Linked DNA regions of Arabidopsis thaliana. The protein of the gene in region 2 interacts with the protein of the main gene of each other region in a pairwise test. Each region holds a gene or a part of one and is shown on either strand. Other genes may lie near its edges.

Evidence for each region.
Region 1: the proteins of AT3G01660 (region 2) and AT5G66480 interact in a two-hybrid assay, tested with the Arabidopsis thaliana proteins (one large-scale study listed by BioGRID).

What each region holds. Positions count from the first base shown.
Region 1 is NC_003076.8:26,543,983-26,548,527, forward strand, and holds AT5G66480 (bacteriophage N4 adsorption B protein), read right to left. Parts: upstream 3,019-4,545; 5' UTR 2,838-3,018; intron 2,499-2,837; 5' UTR 2,495-2,498; coding exon 1,753-2,494; intron 1,431-1,752; coding exon 1,008-1,430; intron 925-1,007; coding exon 755-924; 3' UTR 559-754; downstream 1-558. Other genes in the region: AT5G66470 (GTP-binding protein Era-like protein), read right to left, coding at 1-320; AT5G66490 (uncharacterized protein), read right to left, coding at 3,441-3,770; AT5G66500 (Tetratricopeptide repeat (TPR)-like superfamily protein), read right to left, coding at 4,094-4,545.
Region 2 is NC_003074.8:243,683-247,407, reverse strand, and holds AT3G01660 (S-adenosyl-L-methionine-dependent methyltransferases superfamily protein), read right to left. Parts: upstream 1,993-3,725; 5' UTR 1,877-1,992; coding exon 1,361-1,876; intron 1,282-1,360; coding exon 976-1,281; 3' UTR 554-975; downstream 1-553. Other genes in the region: SEOa (sieve element occlusion protein), read right to left, coding at 1-192; RGLG1 (RING domain ligase1), read right to left, coding at 2,346-2,483, 2,587-2,740, 2,841-2,968, 3,060-3,165, 3,280-3,359, 3,451-3,548, 3,657-3,725.

The DNA.
Region 1 (4,545 bases), on a different chromosome or scaffold from region 2:
TTTCTGTCCGGTTTCATGCTCAGGGAGAGAAGACTGGCTTCGTCGACGATATCGATCTCCACTTGTTCTTCATCATCTTCTAATTGTGCTTGCTCAACCTCCATTTCGCTGAAGCTTCGTTGCCTAATCCATAGCTTCTTCGAGGAGGAGAGTTCCGTCCGGCCATAGCTAGTGGTACTGTTGTGCGCCTGGAGATGTGATTTGGTAACTCTCCGCCGACTATAGATACGATACGGAGAGAAATTAGGGTTTTCAACAACGGAAGTAGAGAAGAATTTGTAGCGGGAAAGAGTAGGCGAAATATGCGGAGAGACCGCCATTGTTGGACTTGGTTTTTCAAATTGATAGCTCTCACTGGTTGGTTTTTCCTCACAGGTGCTTTCTTTAGTGATTAGCGAAGGAACCAAATATGATCTTCATACGACGCCGTTTCAGAATTTGTTATTTCCACTTACACCCCTTGTTAAATATAATTCCCATTTCAACCGCCTTTATTTTTCTTTACCCAGTTACCCCCCTCGTTAAATTTAAGAACCAACATAACAAAAGCAAGAATCAGGCACGGAACTTCTGGCTAATAATAACATTGCAAGTCAATAAGCGACACAAACAGAACCAAATTGGTATGACCTTGATCGTATGAAGCTGAGTTATGTCGTCATCATGAATGTTCTATACATTCTCTAGAAAAGGTTAAAACAAAACCCATTTTCCTATTTTTATTCACAAGGCCTGAAGCTTTGATTCAACCTCATTATGAATCTTTTGGAGACAGCTGAGGTTGAGCTTCATCTGATGATAACATTCCGGGAGGAAGGTACGACCAGGCCAAGACTCCACTCCCGAGTGTGATGGTTGCAGCTATTGATCCCCAAATCCACCTCTGCCTCCTCTTTCTCTTTTGCCCGTCTCGCCTTGCCACCTCTGATATCAAAGAGAGTTGAAGCATTGAGATAAAGAAAAATAAGATAAGACATTCTTGTAAATTTAACTTGAGTTTCTTCTACCTATGGCCTCTTGGTTGCGCTGGGACATTTCCTGGTTCACAGTCTCGTAATAATGAAGACGGTCAGACAACCGGGTGATTTCAAAGTTCTTAGCTTCGAGCTCAGCTTCCATCTCCATCTCTACCTCTGTCTTGGCCAAGTCACTGCCTAGTGTGTCGGAGACAAACCTGGTGACCTCAAGTTGACAACGTAGCTCATCAGCTAGGTTCATGCTGTATTGGCTTCTGGTGGGATCAAGAGGAAGGAACATACCCACATCGGCCAACTGGTCACGGAGCCTCCGCCAATGAACTTGCATTTGCTCTAGAGTCGCCTCTGCCTGCCTCCTCCTTTCGATTTCCATTAGTAAACCCAATCTCATCTCCCTTACCTCAGATTCAATGTTGTTAGCTGAACTCTGCATTCCACTGTCAGTTGATAGTTCTGGAAGCCAAGAAACAGTAACTGAATAAATTAAAACCAGTTTCTTAGATATACCAGTGAATCATGCATGCAGATTTTCTATGTCTTTGGAAATCTGATTCATAACTATCACGAATTCAAGATGACTATAAACACAGGAATCCCAAGCCTAAAAGGCCACTTCACAACCAAAATCACATACTGATATATGCATATAACACTTAAAACTAAAGGAGAAGAGGCTCCAAGAACTGGCAAAAAGTGATGATGCTAGAAATGTCAGACATCATAAGAATTTTCTAGCTATCTCGTGGTTAAAAAAGTTAGTAGGAAGAAACAGTACCATCGCAAGCATCATAAAACTCTCCAACATGTGTAGCAAGACTGTGTGAGCTTTCAGCTCTCTCGAAATCTTCTACCTCTGTGTTACTTGTGAAGCTTACTAATTCACCTGGGTTATAGAAATTTTCAGGCTCAAGCTCCTTGTCTGCTTTTATTCTTACCGGCTCCAATAAGTAACTTTGCCATTCTAAATTACTGGTAGCATTATTACTTCCAATCCCACCATTGCTGATATCTCTTCCCGACTTCTCGTTCAAAAATGTCCCAAGAGGGGGACTGCAATCCCAAACAGGACGTTCATGGATGCCTTGGGTGTGAACACCATTGGTGTGATCCACCGCAATAGCCTCGGTGATAGGAAATGATAGGGATGTGGACTTGCTCAAGGAGGCAGTAGCCTCCACATCTACATTACCACTAATCTTTTCCTCACCAGAGGTTATCGGGTGAGAAGGCCCATCCACCTCAGAGTCCCTATTGAAAAGAACAGGCCCACGAGCTTTGTGATTGATGATATAGGGAGATGGAGGGTAGGAAGAAGGCGAATTGGGATGAGGGATTTCTTTAGTAGTGGCATATAGAGAAGGTGACATCTGAGGACGAGTGAATGTCTTTTCTTTAGGTTGCTTACTTTCATCATTCAAAATAGACGGCTTTGACTGCAGTGTGCTTGGAAATTTACTAGATAAGGACGTCCCTGAATTTAGTGATCTACCCAAAGCGGCAGCAGAAAATGTAGGCATGACTCTGCATCATTGAAGATTTCAATTAGAAATCCACCAATAGGGATACACAACAGCGAGAGAGCGTTGTTCAACTAATAAAGTAATGAACATCGAGAGAGTCGATAACGGATAAACAAAAATCCAAATCAATGTCAAGCAATTAATAACCTATACAAACAAGCTAACAATCTGAGAGTTCAATTTCGGGAAGGAGCAAACCATAGAGTGCGAGATTATCAAACTAATCATTCAACATCAAGTAGCCTAAACTAAATTTAACAGAGATTATCACGGAACCAAGACCTTAATCATCAAATCGAACAGTCAGCAGCTAGCAAAATCACTCGATAGAAATAGTTACCTCGCGACAGAGCATCAATCGGAGAAGACGAAACGAAAAGATCAACGCAGACGGAGGAAGAAGAGACGATCGATTGATGGTAGATTGATATGACATGGTGCGAAAAAAGAGCAAACAGAGATTAGATATATACTGAGGAGGAGAGAAAAAAGAGAAACCTCTTCTCCAAGGCTTTAGTCGCAACAAACTCTTAATTTAAACCTCTTCACCAAGGCTTTCATTCGCAACGACCGCGTATCACGCTGGGTTTTGGGGAATCACCGGAACGGCTGCGTTTTGATGGGGTTTTGTATGTTTAGTGACGTGGCATCTCCTGGTGTTTCGGGTAGGCTTTTGTAGTCATCAGGGGCCCCACTGTGTTTATTCGTAAATTTGTAAACCCAGTCTGATTACTGATAACAAGTAATAAACCGAGAATTTTTCTTACTATCAAACTGTAAACTTAAATTACATGGATTTGTCCACAAAGAAGCAGAATCATGGCTTATGGACGAGCTTTCTACTTTGATGTATGTATGTATTCATCCTTCTTATTCAAATAGAAAGGTATATCACAAATCGAAAATAAATATAAACAACCTCTGTGAAATCTCTTTCTCCGATCTATCTGTAATATATGGCAGGTCCATTTGAAGTGTTATCCCAAACACCTCCTTCCTTGACATACTCCAAGTACCTAGCGAATTCTGGTTTTGCAGTCGTCGTGCTCTTCTTCTTCTTCTTCCTCTTTAGACTCATTTCGAAGAAACTAAATAGAGGGTGAGCCGAACCCCTGGTTTTCTCCACCGGTTTATTCACCTTCGGGGATTGACCATGGGGATTTGTAGGAACGCTCTCCGGTTTCACTTCTAAAAGCCCTGCGCCTGCTTCTTCTTCGTCGCCGAGCTTCTTGTAGCTGCCTCGAACCTTCCTCGTGCTCAGCGCTCTAATCATTATTTCTTGTGGTTTTGATCAATTCTCTCTGGTGATATGTTTTTAAGAAAGGATAGATTTTGAAAAGGACACATCTTTTGACTTCTCTTCTCCTTATCCCAACGACTCCTTTAACTTAAACCTTATGTGACATTGCCCTTTCACCTACTACTATTCGTGGGTCAATGCTACTTTATTTTTGACTATGTCTTCTTTGGTGTTTGACTTAATTAGGACAACGAGACAGTTCCACAACAATGCTTTAGACTTTAGTGGACTTGCTCTGTTTCTTGACACAAAAACAGTAGCTCAAGTGTAGTGTAATGCTGAAAAAACAAAGCAATTCATATGAATAAGCTGTGTCCTGCTGTTTTAACCAAACCTTTATTCTTCAGTTTTCCTCTCAATTCTTCAACGACATCCCACTTCCCCATCGCTGCATAGAAATTCGAAACCAACACATAAATGCTCGCGTTCTCTGGACCCGTCTCTTCCATAAGCCTCCTTGCTACATATTCGCCTCGCGTAAGATCCATATTAAGACTACAAGCACTGAGTACCGCTACCCATATAGCACAAGGAATGCTTTGATTATCGTTCTCCATCATTCTCTCGACTAATCTCCATATCTCTTCTGTCTCACCAGCCTTGCTTAAGATATCGATGAAGCATACGTAATGCTCTGTTCCAGGAACCAACCGATACTTCTCCTTCATCATACCAAAACATTCCTTACCTTCTTTAACTAGTCCTGCGTGTGCACAAGCCGATATAACAACAAGAAATGTCACTGAAT
Region 2 (3,725 bases):
ACGCCTCTCGCCTGCGTTATCAGCCAGCCTCTGCTCGGCGGATCTTGGAATAAGGGAGACCCTTTTGAGAGGGTCGGCCGTTGGGAGGGTTTGTGAGTTCAATTGAAAGCGTTGGGCCATATTGGCGAGGTTGAGAGAAATATATGGTGAAGGATCTGATGTGTTGTGATGAATGATTGGGTTAGTATCCATGTGTGTGTATATATACTGGTGCAAAAGGTTAAATAAAGTGGCAACTTTGAATCAACTTCTTTGCTTCACCTTTGGTTCAATATCTGTTTTGGTGTCTTTTACACTTCCATACAGTTTTTCCCTTATCGATATTTCATAATTTTCATAATAATAAGAATTTCAGGTCTTGGATAATATTATTTCTAAATATGAAACGTCTCTAACGCAACTGCAACAGTCTAATACTAGTAGTGAGAAACATTTAATATTTCAAAGTTTATATACTGATGGTACAACGAGTTATCCTGATAAACATAACTAAATTTAGTATGTACATAGTAAAATAAGGGACTTCATAGCTATTTAAGAAGACACATGCATGGAACATAGATAGTGTACATATACAATGGATTTTTGTTTTAATATAAAAGACTTCCTTCTAATATATATACTGTTATTATAGAATCTAAACCATAAAGTAAGCAACTCGTGATACTCGTTTGAAGAGGGACAAGGCTACCTTGCTTGGATATTGTCCATGAATCTTCGAACAAAACGAATCACATACAATGCATGCTAATTGAAAACTATATATTAATTATATTTTCCAAAGTGTGTAATCTTTCTGTCAATTATTTCTTGTGTAATACAGGTTCTTCCAATTTGATTGAAATCTGTAATTTCATTCTCCACTTTTTAAAAATTTGTATTGTAAGTTTCTCCAGCTGGACTTGGTTGAGAGGTTTTTTCCTTTTCTTCAAAAACTTCCCATCCAATTCTTATACACTTTTTTTTATGTGCGTGTTACTCATAAATAGGTTTGAAATTTTTATAAGCAATGACAGCATTAAAAGGATCGGGCGTAGAAGCTAAACCGATAAAACCCATAAGCCGAGTCAAAACCGATATCTGAGCTCCAGGCTGTTGCCGGATGATCTCCGGCTGAGTAAACCCTTCAATAGACTGAAAGTACTGAACCACCAATTGGATCCGACTGTATTCGGTTCCATCACGCCAAACCCTAATTGCTTTCTCATAAAACATCCGGTTGCTAAAACTCACTATCAACACTCCTCCCGGTTTCAACACTCTATACACTTCTGCAAACACCTGCGGTTTATATAATAAAGACCCGGTTTAGGAATCTTCTTGACATAACCGAAATCGGTTTTGGTTTACGGTAACGTACCTTTTCGGGTTGTTGTAGATACTGTACACCAACAGAACACAAAACAGCGTCGAAATACTTGTCTTCGAACTCGAACTTCTGATCTTCATTAAGATCCTTGACGAAGAAGTAATCGAGTCTAGGGTTACGAGCAAGCTCCTGTGCGTTAAGACCATGCCCTACTACTTTCTCGTACTTCACTTCTTCTGGAAGATGGCTGACCCATGAGCTCATCAAGTCAAGTACAGTCGAACCGGGTCTCAACCGGTTTCTGTATAGTTCGGTTAAGGAGGATATGAAACTATCATCTACGTGGTTCACGAACCGTGGATATGAATAGAATTCACGGTCAGGATCGGCGTTTAGTTTGGTCCGACCTTCGTTGTTAAGTACTAACCTTTGGATCCTACCGGCCGAGGATGATGGTCGAGGATCGGTTTCATCGATTCGGTTTGATATGTTGGTGATTCTTGGTCGGAGAATTCTAGGTTTCAATTGAAATGGAGATTGTTGGAGGTTGAATCGAAGAGAATCCATAAGAAAAAAACTTTCGCTTTATCAAATTTCACAGAAGCGAAGAATCGTTTGTAGAAAAAGTGACAAAATTTATGTAAAAAGAAAGGAATGGATAACTGATGAGTGGTGTGATTATTTCTGCTCTTCCCTACTATTTATTTGGTATGTTTGCTTGTAGCCCAATTTCAGGCTAATGGGCTTCTATTGGGCTATTCATCCATTTATTTCTCATTGCTTATGTCGACAAAACAAATCAAAATTAAAGTGTTTAAGCAATCAACTTTGGTTTAATCGAATCTTGAAAAATCAAAGAAAGCCAACAGACAAATACATAATTCTTACAATCCAATCAAAGAAATTTTATGAACAAGATAAAGTTTAGGAATTCAATCAAAGAACAAAAGAACACTTTAATTTTCTACAGAAAGATCTGAAAATCTCTGGAAGAAATGGGATTTGGGCTGGTCAAAGCTGCATGTCAATGGTGTTGTTAGTAAAGCTTGATTCTGGTCTGGATCGGCGCACGACAAATAGGACACACTTTAAGATCTGGTCCGCATTCACAACAAGTCTGATGGCCACAACCAAACGCCATGTTTTTCGGGTTGCTCAGACATATCGGACATAGCTGTTCAAGGGGAAAATAACACAAACGAGTTTAACAACAAAAAGTTCCAAAGCTCTTATTTCACTTAACATTTCAAACAGATTCCTAAGTTTCTACTAATTACCTGAATATCGTCTGCACTACTCATTTGCTTGCTCTCAAATGGATAAGGAGGTACACTCGGTTCAAAATTCGGTATCCGGGAACTAGAGAATGATGATCCACTCTGCACCGGTGGCGGAAGTGGGATTCTCTGTGGGATATTTCCATTTCTTACCCTGCAAAAATGTAAGGGAAAGAGAAAGGTGAGCATTTTGTTTAACAATATAGCAGTTTCTCGCAGCTACACCTATCAGAGTTTTGATTTGGGTCCCTTACCCTAAAAGGTTAAGCTCTATCGTTGCTTTGTACTGTGGAGGGATCTCCATGAGAGCAGACAGCGCAAACTCTGTCTCCTTCCGAGACTGGTCTTTGTTCTTTGACATGATCTCTGTGAAGTTCACAAACTAGAAACAGAGCAAACATGTTAGAAAAATGGTTCCAAACTGAAGAAAAGAAGCAATCTTCAATGTCATGATATGAAAAAAAGAAGCTTACCTGGAAGTTATCGAAAGCTCGGGCAGGTATGTTATCATCAAATTCCTGCATCATGTCCCATGGTCCATCCCCGACCCCAACTAAGACTATTGACAAAGGAAGGGTACTGTAATAGAGAGGATGAAACTGATTACATACCATAACACTTTATAACATTACACTCAAAGTAAAGAACTTTAAAATGGAAGAAACATTAGTCAAAAGATTGAAATATTCGCACCTTGCTTTCACAATTGCATCTACTGTCTTCTGTTCTTGCGGACTTAGCCGCCCGTGTTCGGTATCGACACTTCTTGTGACCTGAAACAACAAAATGGGTCCACTTTGATATCCCTAGACACAAAACCAGAAGATCATACACAGCTTAGGCAGTCAAAATATTAATCAGTACCTGGCCATCAGCTATAATCACTAACACATGATATTGGCCACTACTCTGCTCAACCACTGTCATTGCCATTTCAATGATCGGGGCAAAAGAAGTTGGTCCTGAAATACATAAGTTCGCAGGAAAAAAAAACACAGTTTTAAGTTTATAACTTGCGTTTCACAAGGAGATATAGAATTGGCCAGTGCAGGTCAGAGCAGGAAATAAACCTGCGAGCTTAAGCTGAGGTACAATTTCTCTATAACGAGCCAATACTTCCTCAAATCCATTACAGAATC